2 linked regions of the Oreochromis niloticus genome follow. The protein of the gene in region 2 purifies or fractionates together with the protein of the main gene of each other region. This does not show direct contact. Links are inferred from orthologs where the notes say so. Each region holds a gene or a part of one and is shown on either strand. Other genes may lie near its edges. The genes, in order: scfd1 and use1.

Evidence for each region.
Region 1: the proteins of use1 (region 2) and scfd1 purify together in Homo sapiens (affinity purification with mass spectrometry; 3 studies listed by BioGRID and IntAct, counting the BioPlex papers as one, with this or other methods). This does not show direct contact. The link is inferred for Oreochromis niloticus from reciprocal best matches to the Homo sapiens genes USE1 and SCFD1.

The regions. Positions count from the first base shown.
Region 1 is NC_031983.2:3,778,975-3,789,103, forward strand, and holds the start of scfd1 (sec1 family domain-containing protein 1), read right to left. Parts: upstream 4,910-10,129; 5' UTR 4,792-4,909; coding exon 4,761-4,791; intron 3,593-4,760; coding exon 3,522-3,592; intron 2,927-3,521; coding exon 2,838-2,926; intron 638-2,837; coding exon 547-637; intron 1-546. Other genes in the region: g2e3 (G2/M phase-specific E3 ubiquitin-protein ligase), read right to left, coding at 9,432-9,730, 9,910-10,081. UniProt on the Homo sapiens protein: Plays a role in SNARE-pin assembly and Golgi-to-ER retrograde transport via its interaction with COG4. Involved in vesicular transport between the endoplasmic reticulum and the Golgi.
Region 2 is NC_031986.2:44,591,466-44,601,823, reverse strand, and holds the start of use1 (vesicle transport protein USE1), read right to left. Parts: upstream 4,795-10,358; 5' UTR 4,737-4,794; coding exon 4,638-4,736; intron 1,020-4,637; coding exon 970-1,019; intron 768-969; coding exon 689-767; intron 600-688; coding exon 447-599; intron 297-446; coding exon 281-296; intron 149-280; coding exon 127-148; intron 37-126; coding exon 1-36. Other genes in the region: unconventional myosin-IXb, read right to left, coding at 8,646-9,202, 9,641-9,780, 9,878-9,993.

The sequences.
Region 1 (10,129 bases), on a different chromosome or scaffold from region 2:
GATAATAACAATATTTTGCTGCTGCATTTTTAGCCTTTTAGGACCTGTCGTCCACATATGTGGACATCACATTTTGGGATGTCTAGACCGCAATACTAAATTTTGCCCAATCAACCCAAATAGCAAAGAGAAATTAAAAATGCATGCCATTAAAGAGTTCAAGAGTTAAAGAGGTCTTAGGAGGTTAATGAACTCATCAAATCACAAAAACACAGAAACTTGGGCTTAAATTTGAGAAGGAAAGCTGTGAGCTTTCCTCACAGATGACACAAACACAGAAAAATGATAAATCAGTTCTCAATAAAAAGGAAAGGTCATGCTCCAGAAAGGCAGACGAATAAACGAATAAAGCTGGGATTGTCAGTGTTTTTACCAAACTTTAATGACAGGTGAAAATTAAACGGGATAACTGAAAAATGATTTGAGCTTTTAGTGCCTTTTAGTGTCTGCTACTTCTGAGAGGAACTCTTCTGTAATTCCCAGCGTAGATAAACACATTCAGGCAAAGAACTGAGTCCAGCTTAATGAGTTACTGTGTGAGATCACCTGACAAATCCTGTCAATATTCTCCTCTGTGGGCATGACGAAATAAATAGCAGGAACATCTGGAATAGGATCTCTGTCTGAATGAAGCAGCCTGAACACACAAACACACACACACACACACGCACAATAGCACTTTTTTCTTTTTTTGTTAAAATAAACAACATGCAACAAGAATAAGAAACCAAAAATCACTGAGACCTCACTAACTGCAAAATAAAACAGAAGTAAAACTTGGGAGACAGCTGCCCCATAATCAAGTGCTACAATGTTGTGCAGAACTCTCGAGCCGACCCTTATTTCTTTATATTTTGCTAGGAAAATGAAAAAGGTGTAGCAATTATCATTGGCATTTTCACAGATTCAACTGAAGAAACGGGAACAAATTATGTACACTTGCAACAAACCAATCTTAAGATGGGGGTAGAGCTGAGCGATAGAACGATAACGATATGTATTGCGAAATAACTTTTTCTCGATAGAAAAATTAAACTATTGCGATAGGCCTCATCTCTCTTGTCCTCTTAAAAAAAAAAAAAAGAACAGCCAATCAAAATTAAGTAGCGCAGAGCCGAACCAATCACAGCTGCAGCGTCACGTCACGTGACTTGTTACGTACAGCACAAGTGCCAAGGCGCACATGTGTATTTGTTTGGGAAGCAGCCAGCCGGGCTGCCCAGGTAATGGAGGAAATGAGTGCGCCGATTAGAGAAAAATCAACTGAGAGCGTGACCGAAGGTTACCAAAGAAAAAACCGATGATGGTTCCAATGCCGGAGAGCTTGTCGAACGGAAGGGCCACAGACGTTCCGTAGTGTGAAGGTATTTCGGCTATTTCAAGTCTGACAAAAAACAGAGTAGCGCGCACTGTAAATTGTGCTGAAAGCAAGTCTGGAAATACAATAAACCGGTGCATGCTCAGTCTCTGACTGAAAGCGCTAATTCGTCATTCGGCTTTTGTCAGACTAAAATAACTGTTAAAACTGTTTGAAAAGCTAAGCTATACAACAAGGAGAGATTGAGAATTTCCTTTTAGTTCTCAGTTTATTTGATATTGACAAAAGTTAGTCAATTTTGTCTGTTCTTCTGTAAAACAAACTAAGATTTATTTTTAGAATTAAAATTTTGTTTCTAAGTGGAATTGACAATTTAGTAGTCTGTTTTGTTTGTTCTATTTTGAAACTTAAATGCTTTAGCGGCTGCCTTTTGTGTAGTTTGCAATATTTGCCTTTATTTATCTGAAACTGAAGTCTCATGTTCCTTAAGTACATCTACCCTGTTGAACTTATTATGGGAAATAAATATTTAAATCAAAACAAGCTGCTGATTATTTCACATTTTACTTGTGAGCAATGGCACATTTAAATCTTACAAATATAGTTATTTGGCTTATATCGTGATATATATCGTTATCGCCTGAAATGAAAAAAACATATCGTGATATGAAAAAATCTTATATCGCCCAGCTCTAGATGGGGGCTTACAATTGAAATTTGTTTCTTTGCTAAGTTTTTTGCTATATGTAGACGAACCAATGGTTTGTCTACATATGGTGAGTTTTGTGCCTTTTTTGTGACGCTATGATTCATAGATCAGTGTTAATGCTAAGGTACACGGACTGGATGAAAACTGAGCGACAAAGCAGCCACTGTCCATAGATAATCTTTGAAAGACCCTCAGAAAGCTTGAAGAAGTATTGCTCAAGAAAATCTTGAAAATTACAAGAAAATCTTGCTCCTTTAAAGTATGGAGAAATTAGTTGTGTCTCATGACTTTTGCTCTATATAACTACTCAAAACACTCCTGCAGGACCATCATCATATGGTCATTTGCAGCTGCAGTGCTGTAAACTGATCACAGAGACACACCATCAATCACACATTCACAAAAAAAACTCAATCAACATGATCATGTAAAGGCTGTTTTTTTTTCCTATGTCCTCAAATTTGTATTTATTTACTGTATTTAGGCTCCCATTTCACTTTTATTCTATGTATTAATTTATTCATATTTTGAATCTATCTATTTATGAATTTCTATAATGATTATATATAACACAGCACAACTGATTTCAGAAAAAGTGTGTGAAAGTTTTGGTGGCAAAACCACAGCATATTTAAACTGAGGTAAACAGATGAGGTGACCCTCCTGTGCCTTCTCTGAGAGCAGCATGTGACCAGTTGTCTTTGTGGTGATTACTGATAATGATTGTTATTTTTGATTATGTGATACTTTGTTTTGCTGTTGTCTTAAAACAGCTCTGTGTGTGTGTGTGTGTGTGTGTGTGTGTCCTACAGATGCAGAGTGATGCCCATGTCTCGGAGCTCTTTGACAGACAGCAGTGGGGAGATGATGTCTTGGCCAAACCGGTCATATATTAACACCTGCAGAAAAGGCAGAGATCAAAAGACTTTTTCTGACCCAGGCAGAAATCACAAATACAAAGCCCTACTGATAACCACACAACACTTATTTATGTGACTGCTTTCACTGTGTGAAAAGTCTGGCATATGAAAGGTGTGATTGCTAGTGGAATGCAGTTCTATGGGTGAAATACTGATACATACGTACACTGATTAACAGCATGAAAGAATGAGTTGGGGATGTGGGCTGGCACTGACATCAGCTGATTTGCCAGCATTGTGGCTTAGGTTGACTACATGGCCTATGTGAACTATAGAATTATTATGTATTTATTTATTAAACTTTGAGTTCACGTTGAAAAGCATGACATTCTTCATTACACAGTAAGCATGTATGAACTGTCCCTTCACCTCCTCTTAGAAACACAGGATGCGGATTTTCAGAGGCTGAGTTAATCCTAAATAAGATTTAACACACAATGCAGCACACTGCATTTTCTGAACACACTGAGCTTTTATGCACGGCGAGTATGAGTCTCAGTATTTAAGTCATGAGTTCAGGCTGGATTTTTTTCCTTGACACCTTTTGAGTTACTACACTGTTATAGTGACTTACCTTCCACACTGGCTCAGCTGCTGTGTTCTTCAGAGGAGGTGCATTGAAGTTCAACATTCGCTTCAAAGCGACTGCAGAAATGCATCACAGAAACTTTTATGTTAGGGGACACACAAACAGATCAGTATCCACATGGCTAATAAATACTGCTCCATTAATACTAGCTTAACTGAGAAGCAGGTGTTTCTATAATCAAATGGTTGTTTAAGACATCTCAACAAATACTGTTCTGAAATATGTCAAGGGTTTAACATGCTTTTTTCTATGGTGAAACGAGCCTGGGGAAATGACATGCCATATTACAAAAAACAGCCTAAAATCTTTGCATTTTAGGCTTTATACATCACATTTGTTTCTTAAAAATATCAATAATGACTATCTGCTATGATAATAATAATTGACTAACTGTTGCCCTTTTGACTAAGGACGAAATTCTGTAGATGTGATTTTGGTGTGTGAAAACATTTCTCTGAGCATTTCATAGACAAAATGTTTATTAACTTGAAACTAGACTACTGATGCAGTCCCCTGGGTCTGCAGTGAACAGCTAGCTTTATTTGTTGCCAGCTGACGATTTGATAATTCCACTAATCACTGCAGCTCTAGATCACACATTGATAAATCTGTTTATTCACTGACCAGACTGCCCACAAAAATATTCAATAAATGTACTAGAATAAAATGGATATGCAAGAATAAGACATCCACATTCTACTGTCCACCCAATATTTAATATTAATAAATAATATTAAACAGCAATACAACAATAAACTGATCCAAACAACAAAGCTTACTGAAACCATACGAGTATATTCACATAATGAAGAGAGGATTCATCCTGTGTATATGAAACTAGAAATAGCTTATGACTTTCTTCAGAGTTAGCAAGAGGCTAGCTATCCGTAGCTATTAGTACCGTAGTAGAGCTAGCAGCACTGATAGCTGACAGGACGACGGGTTAACTTTGGGTAAATAATTTAACAGTGTGGTTGACAAGTTAACGTGTCTGTAAATAAAGGAAAAAATGAACGAGTTCCGCTATCAATAGTGAAACAGGAACATTAATGAAGTAGCTCAGCCGGCTGTTAGTTTAGCACGTAGTTTAGTTTGTCAGCTATTTAAGAGGGGGAATGGTATCTCAGTCAGATTTCGGGTTGGTGGACCTCTCCACAGCCCGTCACCGCTGCTGTCTTTCGCCTGATATAATGTTAACGAAAGAAAGAAAACATTTTAACAAACCTGTCTGCTTCTCCCGGACAGACGCCGCCATATTTGATGTTGTTAGTTACGGAGTGACTGATGACGTGGCATCAGCTCGACGTCAGCTTACACGTCAGAGAAGAGTGTAAAGTGAAGAGGTCTCGCTCTGGTGCTGTTTAACAGAGAATACAAGAAAGAATGCAGATCATCAAAGTAAATTTCCGCTTTCCAGTAGACCAATAATGAATTTTTACTTTTATTATTATTATTATTATTATTATTATTATTATTATTGTTGTTGTTATTATTATTATTAAAATTAGTATTATTATTATTATTATGTGTGATAGACAGTGGCGTTTAGTCAGGACAAGCAAAGTATTGTTTACTTAGCCAAATGTAAAAACAAACATCAATTAAAACATACCAAAGTGAAAGCCATCTCTTTCATTTTATCTTAAATAGCATTCTGTCACAAAACGTCTTGCCTGTTTAAATCAATCATTTAAGCATTTAAGCCTTAAGCATCTTTAGTTGCAATATCAAACATTCTTCTGCATGACAGGGGCAGATCTAGAGAAATTTTCTTAGGCTGGTATGAGGGTGGCATGGAAATCGAATGTGGTGGCAAAATCAAAGCTTTTTACACACATGCAGGTGTTACATTCTGTAATTATATTATATATTTCTGTAATTATATTATGTATTTTAACAATTATATATTGTTAAAATACATCAAATGCAGTAAGTATACACGTTTCATATAAATATACTCTATAACGTTTTTATTTTCTTTAGCCCACATAATTAAACATTTCAGTTTCATAAAACATGCAAATTTGGATTTTATGTACTGTATAGCCTATATAATAAATAAGTATGTAGTCCAATAAGTATAAAATCTAGAAAGCTACACAACACAAGGTGGTTCATTTACAAACACAAGTCTAACTTAATTTCACATTCTTTTTTGTATTAAAAATAACCAAATTGTTACATGCTTAAATTTACACAAAATGCCTCAAATCTGCACTGTCATGAACACATTTTTCACCAACATCTCAAAAACTATTAAAGATAAAAGGTGAGTAAATGGAATAACCGCTATATTAAATAGTTTAAAGATAATGTTTGAAAAGCACATGTCAACTGAGACTGTAAAGAAACATAACCTTAAATAAATACCGCATTCTTGATGGATTTTAATTTAGTAATCACTGCCAGTATGATTGTTTGTGTTATTATGTATCTGTGTGTTAATGTGTTTTATCATCTGTTACAGGTTTCTTATTCATTTTCAGTTATATTAAATACATAAATTTAAAAAAAAAAATACAGTGAAACAATAAAACTGGCATTTCTGACAGTATTCATCTTTGCTGAGACTCCACATAACTGGACTGGACCACAGTCCATCTCTTATTGCCCATTCTTTCATGCCAATCTTTGTCTCCATTTTTATTTTTCCCCCTTTGAACAATTTAAAAGTCTGCTAAAATATATTCAGACATCATTTCCGAAGACCATTAGTAGTTCAATGTGTGGATCCAAAACATTCCAGTTCTGTTGATTGTCAGGGACAAAAACCCTTGTCCAAGGGTTTCAAGGGTACACTAAACAGTCTTTCAGTGCTCCCCTGTTTGCTTGCAATTTCTTGTCTGAAGTCTCCATTCAAACAGTTCAAACAACTAGGGCTTTTGTTGAGAGACAGTTTCCATCCAGTTCCATCACAATTTTTTGTAAAATCTCAAATGTGTACTTAAGCTTTGTCAGGTACCTCAAGACCAGTGAGTAAATGAGGCCAAACAAAATGGCGAATGCATTTGCAATGTTACTAGCACTTTAACACCTTCAATGATTATTCCAACATCTTTAAGGTCATCTGTAGGTTCTTCCCCTTCCTTCATAATGGTGAAGATTCCCAGGGTTATCTGCCACATTGCCTCCTGGTCAAGATTCCTTACATGTCAAACTCAGGACTTGGTGTGGGTCTCACCGCCATCACAGTATTTATTTGCAGACTGGTGAAAGAGTATATGAGTTGAAAAGTTTCATGGAGACTGCAGATTTAGTCACCTTTGTTCACTCGTGCCTGGTTTACTTAAGATGGACCTGGTCATACAAGTAGTTAGATGTAAGAATGATACACAAGTGCCATTTCTTTTCACCTTGTAATGCTTTTAAAGCCTTAAAACCATATTCCAAAGCACGATGCTGTGGGCAGCAATCAGCACTTCAATCAAAATAAACACCCTGCATGATTGCATATGAAAGCAATTAAAAAGTACCTGAAATTTCTAGAACGAACAGTAATTCACATTAGCAGCATAAGGACTCAGTTTGAATTTACAGACACTGTGTATTTAAAGCAATATGATATGATCAGAATGGATCAACGGCAGTTTTTTGAACTCTACAAACAGAAACTGCAGTTTGCCCTCAGCATGACAAACATTTAAACCAAATGAAAGTAAATTACCACATTTTGCACATCTAAACTATACCTTACATATTTATGAACTGCCTTGATAAACAAGCAAGTCTTAATCTGTGCGCTGCTTCACCCTCCACAGCAGTGCAAAACCGAATTTAATATAAGGACAGCCCAATTTATTTCATCACAAAATGCATTGCTGTTGTTGGGTTTGTTTTGAGAGAAAGCCAAATATAGTTCATTTTCTTAAACGTATTGAGCAGTTGAAGTTCAAGTGAAAAAAAAAAAATGCTGCCATGTCACAAAGAGCACCACAACCAGACAGTAAATGCTTTTTATTATGTGTGATAAACAGGACACTAAGGTCAGAAGTTGCAGGAAAGCCACAGTTCTCCTTATTTGGCTGAGCTCCAGCACTTTGGCTAACGTTTCTTCTTCTGCAGCTTTCTGGGCATCTTATTTAAATAATAATGAGCTTTTTTTTTTAAGCTATAGGCCAAAATTATGAATGAAAATGAAATGACAATGTAGTTTCAATTTAATGAGTGTAAAATTTTGTACATTTCTACTTACTTCTACAAGTCCTGTTGTAAAGTTACAGCAGTGCAAAATATGCCACACTGACAAATGTATTCAGTTTCTCATACAGAAATGATATGTTAAATGTTATGCTTGATCCTAATCTGCCGCCAACTCTGTTTACATTGCTGGTTTAATAGCTGAACAAAACACAGATTAAAAAAAATCTGCTTATCACTGAGAATATTAAATCAGTAAATTTCATTTCATTTCCTAAACAACATTTAATGTCAACACATAGCGTGATAATGTAATATAATGATTACAGAGGTTTTTTTTTAATCTTTATATCTGAGAAAATGAACAAAGTACAAGGAAAGCAAGGACAGGTCATTAAAAGAGGTTTTGAAAAATATGTAAAGTATGACTGAACTAAAAGTCAAGGTTATAAAATCAGCACCGTACCACAAAAGATGTTGAGATTACATAATATAAAGCAATGACGGTTGAAGACCTTTTAATGCTAAATGGATTCCAAGGACAATCCCAAGATGTCGGACTACGTTTTGGCCATCAATGTTTTCCGTCTCTAAAATGCAACCCCCTTCCCCCAAAATCTCCCCACACCTCCCACATCCAGAAAAACAAAACATGAGGCAGGATTAATTATTAGGCATCAACAAACAATATGTACAAAATCCTCAATCACCATAAGTATAAATGTATTTAAGATATCAACACATACTGCGATACACTCAAAAGAGAGACAAGCTCTATGGAGAGAAAAACATTAAAAATGAACTGAAGCCTATTTGGTCAAATGTGTTAATGTAAAAGAAATGTAGATTAAAAAAACAAAACAACAACAATAATGCACCACTCTCATGACTCAGAATGTGTTTGCAAGGTTGTAATAACAGAGATAAGATAGTAGCTTCACTTCAGGTAACTACAGCCTTCAAGAAGTGTTTTAATATTGAAGTCTAGATTTTTCCAAAGGACAAAATTTCAATGTACCCAAACACCTGTCGCTGACAGCTTCAAGTCAGGACTGATCCACGGATGCTGCCGTCAAGATCAAACTATTTGTGAGGTGTTTAACGGCTTGCATCCTCAGCAGGAACCTTTGAGCTTGGTGCAGAGCGCCATAAGAAGGAAAAGGTTTGTGGTTTCAATTCATATCCCGTGCATGGATAAGCAGCTAAGTAAATAGATAAAGGGATGGATATTTGCATCTAGATTTACGTATTCAAAAGAACATACAGAACATTCTTTCTTCTTTATCAGCCAACTTTGAGAAGCCTATTGACAGGAATCGCCTAGTGCTTGTGAGTTTGCACTCTTCCGAGCTTGTGAAGGCATGCTGTGCTAGCATTCTACTAAAGAATATTATACATATATTAGAATAAACAAGAGTATTACGTAACACTGTCGGTCCTCTAGGTATACAACACCAGCTAACACAGTATAAATGATATAGAAAACACTAAGGGTTACACATTAATACCATGTCATGGTATCTGTAACCAATACCACTCAACCAGCTACGATACTGAAAGTTTTTCTTGTTCAAGCAAATAGTGATTTCTTTAACAAAACATCAAAAAACCTTGATCATTATGTTTTAAATGCGTACATTACCCAAATTTCTCTCCATCAATCACAAAGAACCCCATTAGAAAAAAACAAAAAACAATCAGAGTTTATCTTCAAACACAGATCCCAAACCAGTCCAGAGCCAACCCCCACCTCCTTCTTTAACCATCTGTGGGGAGAAGGTGCACATGGTGGCTGATGGCCTGCTCCATGGAGCTTTTAAAAGCCTGGTAGGAGGAAGTGACGGGTAGGAGGAGGTGTTTTGACACAGGCTCACTCTGTGGGAAGAGTCCCTCATCCCTCCAGTCCACACCTCTCCCTTCTTTGAATCCTAATAGGGAGGGCGCGAGAGGATGGAGGAAGGAGATGGAGGGAGAAGAGAGGGCACTGACAGCTGGTAGCTTGGCACTTCCTGTGGCAAAGTGAAGGAGGTCCTGAAGGGAGATGGAGCTCCTTCCAACTGAGGAAAGAAGAGAGTGAGTATAAACATTTTAGAGCATAAATATTATCATCATCATCATTTCTGTGGCACACTTTGGGAAAACGTATCAACACAGAAAGATGAACCCATGACCACTTTTATCCATCCCAATGCAAAATTTTTTATTTATAATAATAAAAACAGGATTAACATTCCACCTTCACACTCAAGCAGGAAGTGCCTCCAGAAGGTGACAACGGGCGTCTCTCGGTTCAATTTTTCCTCCTGCTCAGAGAAGTTGATGGTGAAGAGCTGACCCATTGTCTGAGCTGTGAGATGATCACCAGCTTCACAGAAAATTCCACAGAAGACAGATGGGAAGAGCTGAACCTGATCATAGTACAGTGTAATTAGTGTTTTTAGCGTCACTTTTCTTCT
Region 2 (10,358 bases):
TCTGCGGCAGACTGACGCTCGTCCAGAGGAAAACATCTGCGCAGAGGTGACACAGGTTGAAGCTTTTACACCAAGTCCCAAAAACAAGTCTAACACATGAGATCATTTAGAAAAGCTCGACTTTACCTTCGGTTCCTCAAGTCTCCGTCTGACGTGAGGAGAGAGAAGAAAAATAAAATCACCTTTTTCTTAAAAACAAACAAATACAGTCCTATCGAAATATAATTCGTCATATTTCCATCTAAATGTTATTAAATCCAAGAGGACGAGTATTTCGTACCTTTTCCCGACGACCCCTGTGGCGACAGAAAAAAAAACATTTATGAGTTTAAGACAAAATGTGGGAAACTTTTTATTTAAACTTTTCTACCACACTGCTGTAGTTTAGGAGGCGCACTGCAGTTCACACAACAGGTCACGTCTGCAGTACTGTGAGAGCGTCCTACCGTGCCGAGCAGCTCGTCCCTCATCTCTCCCGTGCACCGCGCCTTCGTCTGCGTGTGGACTTTTTTAGTGACAGACATCCTCTCGTTGGCCATCGTGGCCGTCCGGCCGGGGGCGAGGAACTGATTAGCTAAAGCTTTTTCTGTTGGTGAAGACTGAAGCAGAGCGGGAGGGACAGGAAGTCAGAAAACTCAAAGACACAAGAAAACACAGGTGTGTCGTGCTAAAAGCAGAAAAAACTGACCAGCTTCTCTGCTTCTAGAGTTCCTTTCAGAAAATTGACTTTTCTGGTGTATTCAGCCAGGACCTCTGGTGTTGGTTTGCTGGAAGAACACACAACCGCTTACTGACAAAACTTTGTGTTATTAAGCTGAAACCAGCAGATCAAACCTCTGTGCTCATAACACGTAAGCCTGATGTGACCTGTTACAACCAAACATATTTAAAATAGGTTCTTAATAATATATGTACCTTTTCAGGCAAAAAAAGAAAACATGGAGACATAAAAGTGGAGGGTGGTGTTACCTCAGGCTTTTCCTCAGAGCCACCAGCATCTCTTCCAGGGCGCCCACATACTGGAGGAGACCAAACAGAAACAGTGATGCTGCTCACATGCTCTCATTTATCTCATCAATCAAATCTTTATTTCAAAGTAACAAATATTAATACATTTAAAAAAATAAATATCCATATATCATGGACTACACTGGGCCAAATAACAGAGTCTAACTGACGAGGTTTCTTGTAAAAGTAGGCTGAGTCTCTTACAGAGGGTGGGTCACAAACCCAAACAGGACACAGAAGCTGCTGCAGGTGAACAGTGTAGTCTTCACCGACACACACACAGTGATAATGCGGAAAGGCTAAGATGCAAAACAGCTGTGACCCTGCAGAGACGGTTCCTGAGAAAAGCAAATGACTCGGTGCCAGTAAACAGCATCAAGTGGAGGATCCTTAAATATATCTTTAATAGTTCCTGTTTGCAGCAAAGCATCTTTGAGGTTACACTAACACCAGGCTGGAACACATCTTCAGTTTGCAGCTGTGTTAGAAAATAAGTCACGGCAAGCACTAAATATGTAAATGCACCGTATTTCAAACTCCAACCAACGCCCAGTGGCCGCTGATCTCCACCAACCAGTCAAGCTGCAGTTTATAGCCATGCTGGCACGGATGAGTCAAAGTGTTGATTTGGTGATATAAAACTTAAGTCAGTTTACTTAACTTCACAGCACGTCTGCTGTAACAGCGAGTCGGTTCACTGAGAGAAAGAAGTCAGCCTCCGACAGACCTCTCACCACATCAGGCCACGTGTAAATGTGGTCTAATGATAAATGTAATAAGGAGGAAGCAGTGCAAGAAGAAAGTGTTTGACAGCTGTCAGGGTCGTACTGACTGTTGTTACTTTAGTTACTCGAACCTTTCATCTACTCTAAAAGTAAAAATCAAGCAGCTGATTGGTTTATCCTGCTGGTTCAGATTAAAGGGTCTTCACTGCTCAGCTGTAGGGAGCCACTCGGTACACCGTGACACGAGGTCACCGAGAAGAGGCGTTTGGATTTATTCAGTCCCAAGTGGCCTGGTGACGCCTGTTGTTACTCGTTTGCGTTAAAGCTGCAGGTCACACATTTAAATCAGCTACTGTTCCTTTAAAGCTGCTTATTGTTAATTCTTGGGTTTAAAATGGTAAATGGTAAATGGCCTGTATTTATATAGCGCTTTCTAGTCCCTAAGGACCCCAAAGCGCTTTACATATCCAGACATCCACCCATTCACACACACATTCACACTATTTAAACCTCATAAACTAAATTAAAGCTTTCAGTGGAATTTAAACAGGCAACTGCTCTGAATTTAACCCAAACACATGTGTGCTGTGTCAAAGATAAAAGCTGCACTTTGTTGTAATACCACTTTGCACCACAAGAGGGTGCAGTGTGTCACTGTAACCTTTATTTAAAAACAGGCACGTCTGTATTTTAAACGACAGCCTGGCAAAAGAGGAGATCTCATGAGGAGCGGTTACTAAAAAGAAACCTGTTAGTAGTGCTGCCCCCTAGTGGTCAAAGTTTTAGTAACAAAAGTTAGCAGTAATTTCCCTTCACCGAACAACCACAATCACATCGTCCATGAAAACAGCAGTACAAATCTTTACGTTATAAAAGTCTCATATAGCAACTCTATGCATTTATGTTTCCCAGCAAAACAACACAAGCCGCGTAATTAATTGAAAATAAATCAAAACCGATGTTCAGAACCCCCAACTGATGTGATCTGGTCCATGTCATTTTTTTTGTTTTAAATTTAAATTCTGTTAACATTTCACCCAATGAGAGTTCACGCAGTTACGTGCCTCCATGACATGAAGCATGATGTAAAAAGACCTCAACACAGTTTCAGTGTCCAAAGGTAAGACCACCAATCTGTTTCAACAGCTGGAGCGCGATCACAATATCGCAGCTTTAACCGCTGAGCACATTTACAGGTCAAACCCTGTCAGCAAACTATGGGGGCAAGAACAAGTAAATAAAGGAAACTCCTTTGTTAATGTTAATCGAGGTAAAATGTTCAACTACTTGTTTTGATTTGAGGCCCCGCCCAAGCATATCTGAGTACGAGAGCAGTGTGAGGACTTAATAAGGGAGCTACTCAACAACTTCACTGCTCTGCAAAATATGAACGAGAGCTGTTCCTGATGAAGGTGGCAACAACAAACATGTTTCACCACTAGAGGCACAAACACTACGAAGGAGGAGATGCTAGGAGCCGGTGTCTTGGGTTCGAATCCAGTGTGGGGCCTTTCTGTGTGGAGTTTACACAGCACAAAGACATGCATCTGTGGTTAACTGGTGATTCTAAATCGGGCCAGTCCCCTCACCCATCGGCTCTACGATCTCTACTGCCTACTGGTTAAGACTCAGAGATCAGATTAGTTATACAGGGAGTCGATCCAGACTCCCTGTCTAGGGTGTGCTGGTTCCACAGATCAACAGTGTGGGTGTGAGTGGTTACCTGTCTCTCCATGTAAGCCCTGTGACACACCTCACCTGGCCAGGATGTGCCCTCCTTAAGAATTACAAGTTTAAGTTACTTTAGTTTAACAAAAACTAAATTTCCACAGAAAACTCGACCCAGAGTATTTCACTGCAACTCTGCGGCTTTCAAAGGAGTAAGGAGTAAAGGAGGCCATTTATGTGAAAAAGGAAAGACCATCTCTGAACCGAGGAGGGGGCCTAAGAGTACGTCTTTCACCTTTCACCTACCATTCCCCTGTGACCTCTGAATGGTTCTCGCGCCCACCATCAATGATTATGACAATAGTATATTAAAGATCATGAAACTTGGCTGGTGCTGGTTTTGGATGATATGCAAATGTTTAAAGGGCTGGGGAAAACTGCAGCGAGGTGAGAATGAGGAAGAAGTCACAGGTGAGTGATGAATTGTTTCTCCCACTGAAAACAAAATGCCCAGATGAACAGAAACAACTTTCTGGGACTACCTGGAGTACTTGTGTGCTTACATTTGACTTTTGCTGTGTCACTGCTGCTGCACTACAACACTGCTGCTTAATAAAAGCCACACTTTAAGGTCAGCAGCTCACTGGAAAAGAAGAAAGGATGGGTGGATGGATGTCCTTCACCCAACATGATGCGCACTATTTTTCATAGCATAATAAGTATTATCGCAAATATTTCTCTAAAATATCGCGATGTAATTTAGAGGCTGCATCACACCCCGCTGGTGCACATGACCTGACTGCAGCTCCTGACTTAACTTTCTATAAGGCAGCAGAGGTTGGACGGCTGGAGGAAAACTCGGGTTGTAGCTGATTCGCAGCCGATCGTTTTTTAAAAAAATGCTATAAATAAATAAAGTTACTGTTAAAGATATGAACATACGGAGGATCTTCTGCGAGGAACATAGGTGAAAGGAAAGCTTCAGAAACGAGATTAAACACTAAAATACAGCAAATCTGGAGTAGCAGACTGCGCAGACTCGCCGTGTGTCGCTACGGTGACATCTCGGCTATGATTGAACCTGTGCGCGAGGGGTGAACAGCTTAAATGTGCCTCCCGACACCAAACAGAAAGGTTTAGGTGACGACGTGGCTAACAGCGGCTCACAACAACAACAGTCAGGCTAACGTCATCACGACATGGTCGTTACAGCCGCTCCGAGCCGTGCCGGGTTACCTTTTCAAGCCTCCACTCCGTCTCTCCCCGTTTCTCCGACGCCAAAGACTCACAGCGAGACAATAACCTGATGAAATTGATTTCTAGTCGGGAAGCCATGTTTGGTTTGAAGCCGCACAGCGGCGCAGCAGTTTGACGTCAAGCAGAGCGGCGCAGACGTTATGGGCGGAGCGTCGCCCGCCTCTTTTTTTTTACGTCGTCATTGAAAATTTCAATTTAAAAAGCTAGACTCATTATTATTATTATTATTATTATTATTGTTATTATTATTATTGTTGTTGTTGTTATCAATAAGATCTCGTTAGACCCCAAAGTTTTATCTTAATCTCTTTCTCTCTATTCGAGAGAAATAAAATAAAATAAATATAAAACACACCATTCTGGCACGAAAACCACAACATGTCTGTATGTAGTACTTTTTTTATTTATGTATGTTTTGTATGTGTTTATATACAGTTCTTAAAAAAATACTGCCATAAAAACACTCAAACATAACCATTTTATGTATTTGGGTAAAACTAAAAGTTATATTGTTTTTAAAATTTTATTTATTGGGCAAATAAAAAACTAAATTCACTTTTTTATACCCCAATTTGAGGCGCCATACTGGACTTCTCTGAGAGTCAAGCACAACGTTCAACAAAAAAAAACAACGATTTTTTCTTTTCAGCAATGCCATTAAACAATAATAATAATAATAATAATAATAATAATAATAATAATGATGATAATAATGATGTGGTTTGCTGTTTTTCAGCTTTTTTGTAAAAGATAACATTAATAAAATGAAAAATATCATTTTTGAGTGTCAGGCTTGGACACACTGGTGGCTCAGCCGTTACAGAAACATAGAAAATGAGTTTGATATTTTCAGTACTGTTAATTTAGGGTAATTGTGGAATAAACATTGCACTGGGTGGTGGCCTGATAGTTTATCAAGTATCCATGTATGCCTATATTGACTGATTATGTTTTGTTTTATAAAACATGGGTTATATTTTGCTGTACGGTATCTATGACACTCAAACTGCCTTACATGTAAACAGATGGAATGAAAGATTAGCACTTGATATAAAGTCATGTTGTGCTTATCACTATACTACAGTGCGTAAAGTATAATAGGCCATTCAGTACACTGTCTGCATCACTTTATTTAGTGGCGCAGCAAAGATGAGTCAGGGCACTCAGTGTTTAGACCTTTTCTTATGCCTATCATCTACAGCTTCTAGAATCATAGCTATTTTTGCAGTGTGGAGCACAGATTGGAGACAGTTGTCTGAATCTTCTCACCAAGGTTCTTATCTGTGGCTCAGACACTTCTGCACCACCAGTGGGCTGAAGTTGGAGCTGCTAAAGGCGTTTTCCAGATATGAGGCATCTGTGGATTCCTGTGGATAAAGTTCAAGAAGGTGGTCTGTCTGCAGTCCGGCAGGTCACATGACACAGCCCGTTCAAATCCTCAGAGCAGCAATTTTAGTCTTCATGTCAAAAAAATAGTCCCAGTCTGTTCAGGCCTTGATCGCTTCAGGACTTTGTTTGCACCTGTTAGGTGGGATAAACACTTTGAACTAGATTAACAAATAATTATAAAGACCTCACATAACTACCACTGCAGCGCCCTTCAACCTGAACATGCCCAGCTGTGAGGGTGGTGCAGAGAGGAAAACAATCATCTATCAATACTCACGTATACCAACCTGCATGGAGGTAAGTGAAACTACATCAACTTTAATTTGCTTAACAGTGGATGGTGTGCAAGGCTGATAAATCACCCACGACCAGGAAGGAAAATGCTGACCGCAGTTCAGGGCGTAAAAATGGTAAAAATAAATGTAACCACTTCAAGGGGCGCATTGCGTGACACTGTTAAAACTCATGTTGGTGTAATTTCCTGTGTGCGGCTCTGGTGCAGCTTTATGAAGTCTGAAGAAATAACTCGTATGACATCACTTGAAAAACAGATCTTGCATTGTGGCAGCTGATCCTGAACTGTGGAGCCTTTGTGTGCTAAAGGTGCATCAATTCCACTCCACACAAAACACCCACAAAATCAAAAACAGTGAGGTCTGTGCAGACGGCTGCAGTTTACTGCGACAAAGAAGCGGCTCATTTAAGAAGACCTGACCCGAGTTTTAATGACTGTTTAATGCAGGGACGACTCTGAAAGACTAAAATTATACCCACCTCTGGGAGTTTTAGCCATCTTAAAGCAAAATGTTAAACATACACACTCCGGCCACTTTATTAGGTACACCTGTTCACCTAGTGGTTAATGCAAATATCTAATCAGCCAATCACACAGCAGCAAGTCAGTGTATTTAAATATATAATCAAGATGACCCGCTGAAGTTCAAAATGAGCATCAAAATGAGCAAGAAAGGGGATTTAAGTGGTTGTTGGTGTGAGGATTTCAAAGACTGCTGATCTGCTGGGATTGTCCCACACAACCATCTCTGGGGCTTACAGATAAAGATCCAAATAAGAGCAAATATCCAGCGAGGGGCAGTTTGATGCTAAAGTTCAGAGGCTGGCCTGACAGCTTGGAGCTTATAGGAGTGCAGAAGATCATCTCTGAACATGTTAAACCCTGAAGCAGATGAGCTACACCAGCAGGAGACCACACCAGGTGGTCTGTACCCAGTACTAGCAACATGTACCTAATCTAATGCAATGAAGGGAGTCTATGGTGAATGAATTTTGAATTTAGGTGCAGTATTTCTAGTTTCATGTTACTACATTTTGTCTGTGCTGAAGGTCCAAGTCAACCTATGAACCTAATTTGGAGCAGACTAACTCCTGGAGAGTTTATAAACGTCCTACAGTTTTATTTTAATAACCCTTGTTTATCACCATCGTCTGTTTCCAGGGTAAAAGAAAAACGTTCTAATTGTGCGTGATGGAAACACACAGCAGCGGACGTTACAAGCATCATGTACTGTATTTTCATGTTACTACTAATAAACATTACAGCTCATTCAGTCAAAGTCACCATGCACTCTGTTACACATCAGAACATCTTCCTCATAATCCAGACAAACCAACATCATCATACATCATCATCATCATCGTCAGCAGTCAGAGAGGAACATTAGTATTACATTTCATACAAAGTTGGCCGGAGCTGTGCTTCAGCACTTTTCTAATAATGGGACTGAGTGATTTTAGAGGAGGGGAAGTTCAAGGACACGTGGTGCCACCGCTCTTGGATCACGGCTGGGTTTGTGTGGGTTTTTTGTCGTTTCTGTGGAGAAAGTGGCGTGTGCTGCTCCCGTTCCCTTTGCTGCATGAATGCAATGATTTCCTATCTGGTGTGTGTTGTGCGGCGGGTAAAACATGAAGGTGAACAGAAAAAGCTGTTTGTTTTTGTGTGTGTGCAACAGTCACAATGTGCAGGTTTAGGTCCTTGTTTTCCACAACAAACACATCCCTCCCTCTACGAGCACCGTTCCATCATCGTGACATGAGAATGAGCTTCTTTATCAAGTCAATGTACAACATCAAGGCACTAGCTAATGTTTCAGCGAGCGAGTTTCACTCACTGGGAGAACTAAGAAATGAAAAGTGCGACTGAAACCTGCAATATTTTCTTGAATTAGCACAAATTTAAAAAAAAAAAAATCATTATGAGGCTACGGGAGGAAACTGCCTCTGGTCCAACTGAAGCAATCAACAGTGAGGACAATATATTAAAAAGATTGAAAAGGTGCTTGGCAACATGTGGTCCAGTCCTTTTTACTAACGACACGTTTGCATTGGCTGATCGAGTTCCCTCAGACAGCAGCAGCTGCAGTTTGTGTGAGCTGGGTTCATGCATGTGGAGCCGCAGCAGCTGCGCGTGTCGTCGCGTCTCTCCTTTCCTTTCATACACACATCAAGTTCCAGCCTCTCCGAGCGCTCTGCTGCCGCCTGCGTCGAATCTGAGAGCGTTTGAATTCGTTTCGTTTGTCTGCTTGCGGGTCGCCGCCCTTAATCCTCTTCGCCGTTCCAGTCGTTTGTGCTCCTCCCTGCTCAGACTTCATCATCCACATACGGGATGTCTGGGTCAGAAAACCGTCTGTGGACATTTGGGACTTTCGTGCCGCTGTGCTGGAGCTGAGGAGTGGGCGCAGCCGTGGAGATGGAAGAAGAGGAAGAGGCGGCTGAAGGAGGACAGGAAGAAAAACGCAGCACCAAGTCGCACTCTGAGCCGTCGAGGTAAAGGGACTGGGTGCTGTCTTTACGGCGGCCGGGCTGCTCTCGTCTCTTGACCGAGAAGGCGGGCGCTCGGCTTCCAGGAGGAGCGTGAGAGTGAGGCGGACTCGAGGTTGCCGCCTGGGAGCAGACTCCCTGCGGGAGTTTAACTGTGTTTGGGATGATGGGGTTGCGACGCTGAAGCGGATGCCTGAAGGAGGCGTTGGAGGTTTCAGAAGTTGAAGAAGTGCAGCTGGCCAAAGAAGAGGTGGAGCTAGCAGGGGTGAGGGTTGACACAGAGATGCGTCCGCCGGGGACTTTCGGCCTCTGGGTCAGATCTGAAGGTTTGGGAAGACAAAGCGGTCTGGATCTCCTCAGCTGATGAGCACCTCGTCCTGGAAGAGAAGAGGATAGAGGAAGAATGAGGAATATTTAACCAAGAGGCTCACAGCAGTGTGAAAGGGGAAAAGGCAAATGGAAGATCATGCAACCATGATTTGCAAGAAAAAAATCAAAAAATACACCCAGTGAGTTACAATTACAAGCATCTGATCTGATGTGGACGGCAAATGTTCAGCAAATCAACTTTGGGTGAAATTTGAGCATGCAGCCGTGCCACACATGCATTTACATGCACACAAACACACAAAAACACGGTTGCCGTTCCTCCGACCTCCGACAGAGCAGACGTCACCGCCCACCTTCACCATCACTGGTCCAGACCTGTGCCACAAAAGACAGGAAGGGCCCCGCCCAGCAGGCCCCGTGGTCTGGTCAGAAACCCGCAGGTGACAGAAACAGGTAGGAAGTCCAGACTGTACCTTACTACTGACCTTCAGGCTCTGAGCTGTGAGCAGAGGAGCGCTGCTGCTCGTCCAAGAGGCTCTCAGAGCTCAGCGAGGCTTCGGAGTCCAAATTCTCCTGGTCTGAACCAGGCTGCTCCATCTCTGGCAGGCGATAGGCGAGATCCTCTCTGAAGGTGAGATGAAGAGGAAATCACATGCATTAGGAACTGGACAATGAAGACAGCAGAAATGAGGAACTGAAAAGTGCTAAGAGAGCGATCTTACTTCTCCTGCTTGATGGACTTGATACGTTCCATCAGGTTCTTCTCGGCCTCCGTGTCCGAATCCAGAGGCTCGTTCTCGGGGACCACGCTCAGATCAGTGCTGACCTTCTCATGCATCTGCACAAGACAGAGGATCACACCTTCACCCAAACTGAAAACACCACACTAGACTATAACAAACACTAAAGGAGAAATGGAAAGCACACATGTATATGACTTTAACCCAAACCTGAAACTGAACCAAAAGGTGTTAGTGAGGTCGAGAGAAAGGCAGGGTGATGGTGAGGTTTTCATGCACCTGCATATGAATTCTTACAGCAACAGAGAGTATTAAAAGAGATCAAAGTGAATGCACACTTTTACTCTTTTCACCAAAGTGTTTGTGTTGCAGAGTGATTGCTCTGTAGATAACATGACCTTCAGAGCTCTGTGGCTTTCTTTCCTCTAAAGGTTGAACAAATCAGTCACAAAACAGCTGTTTT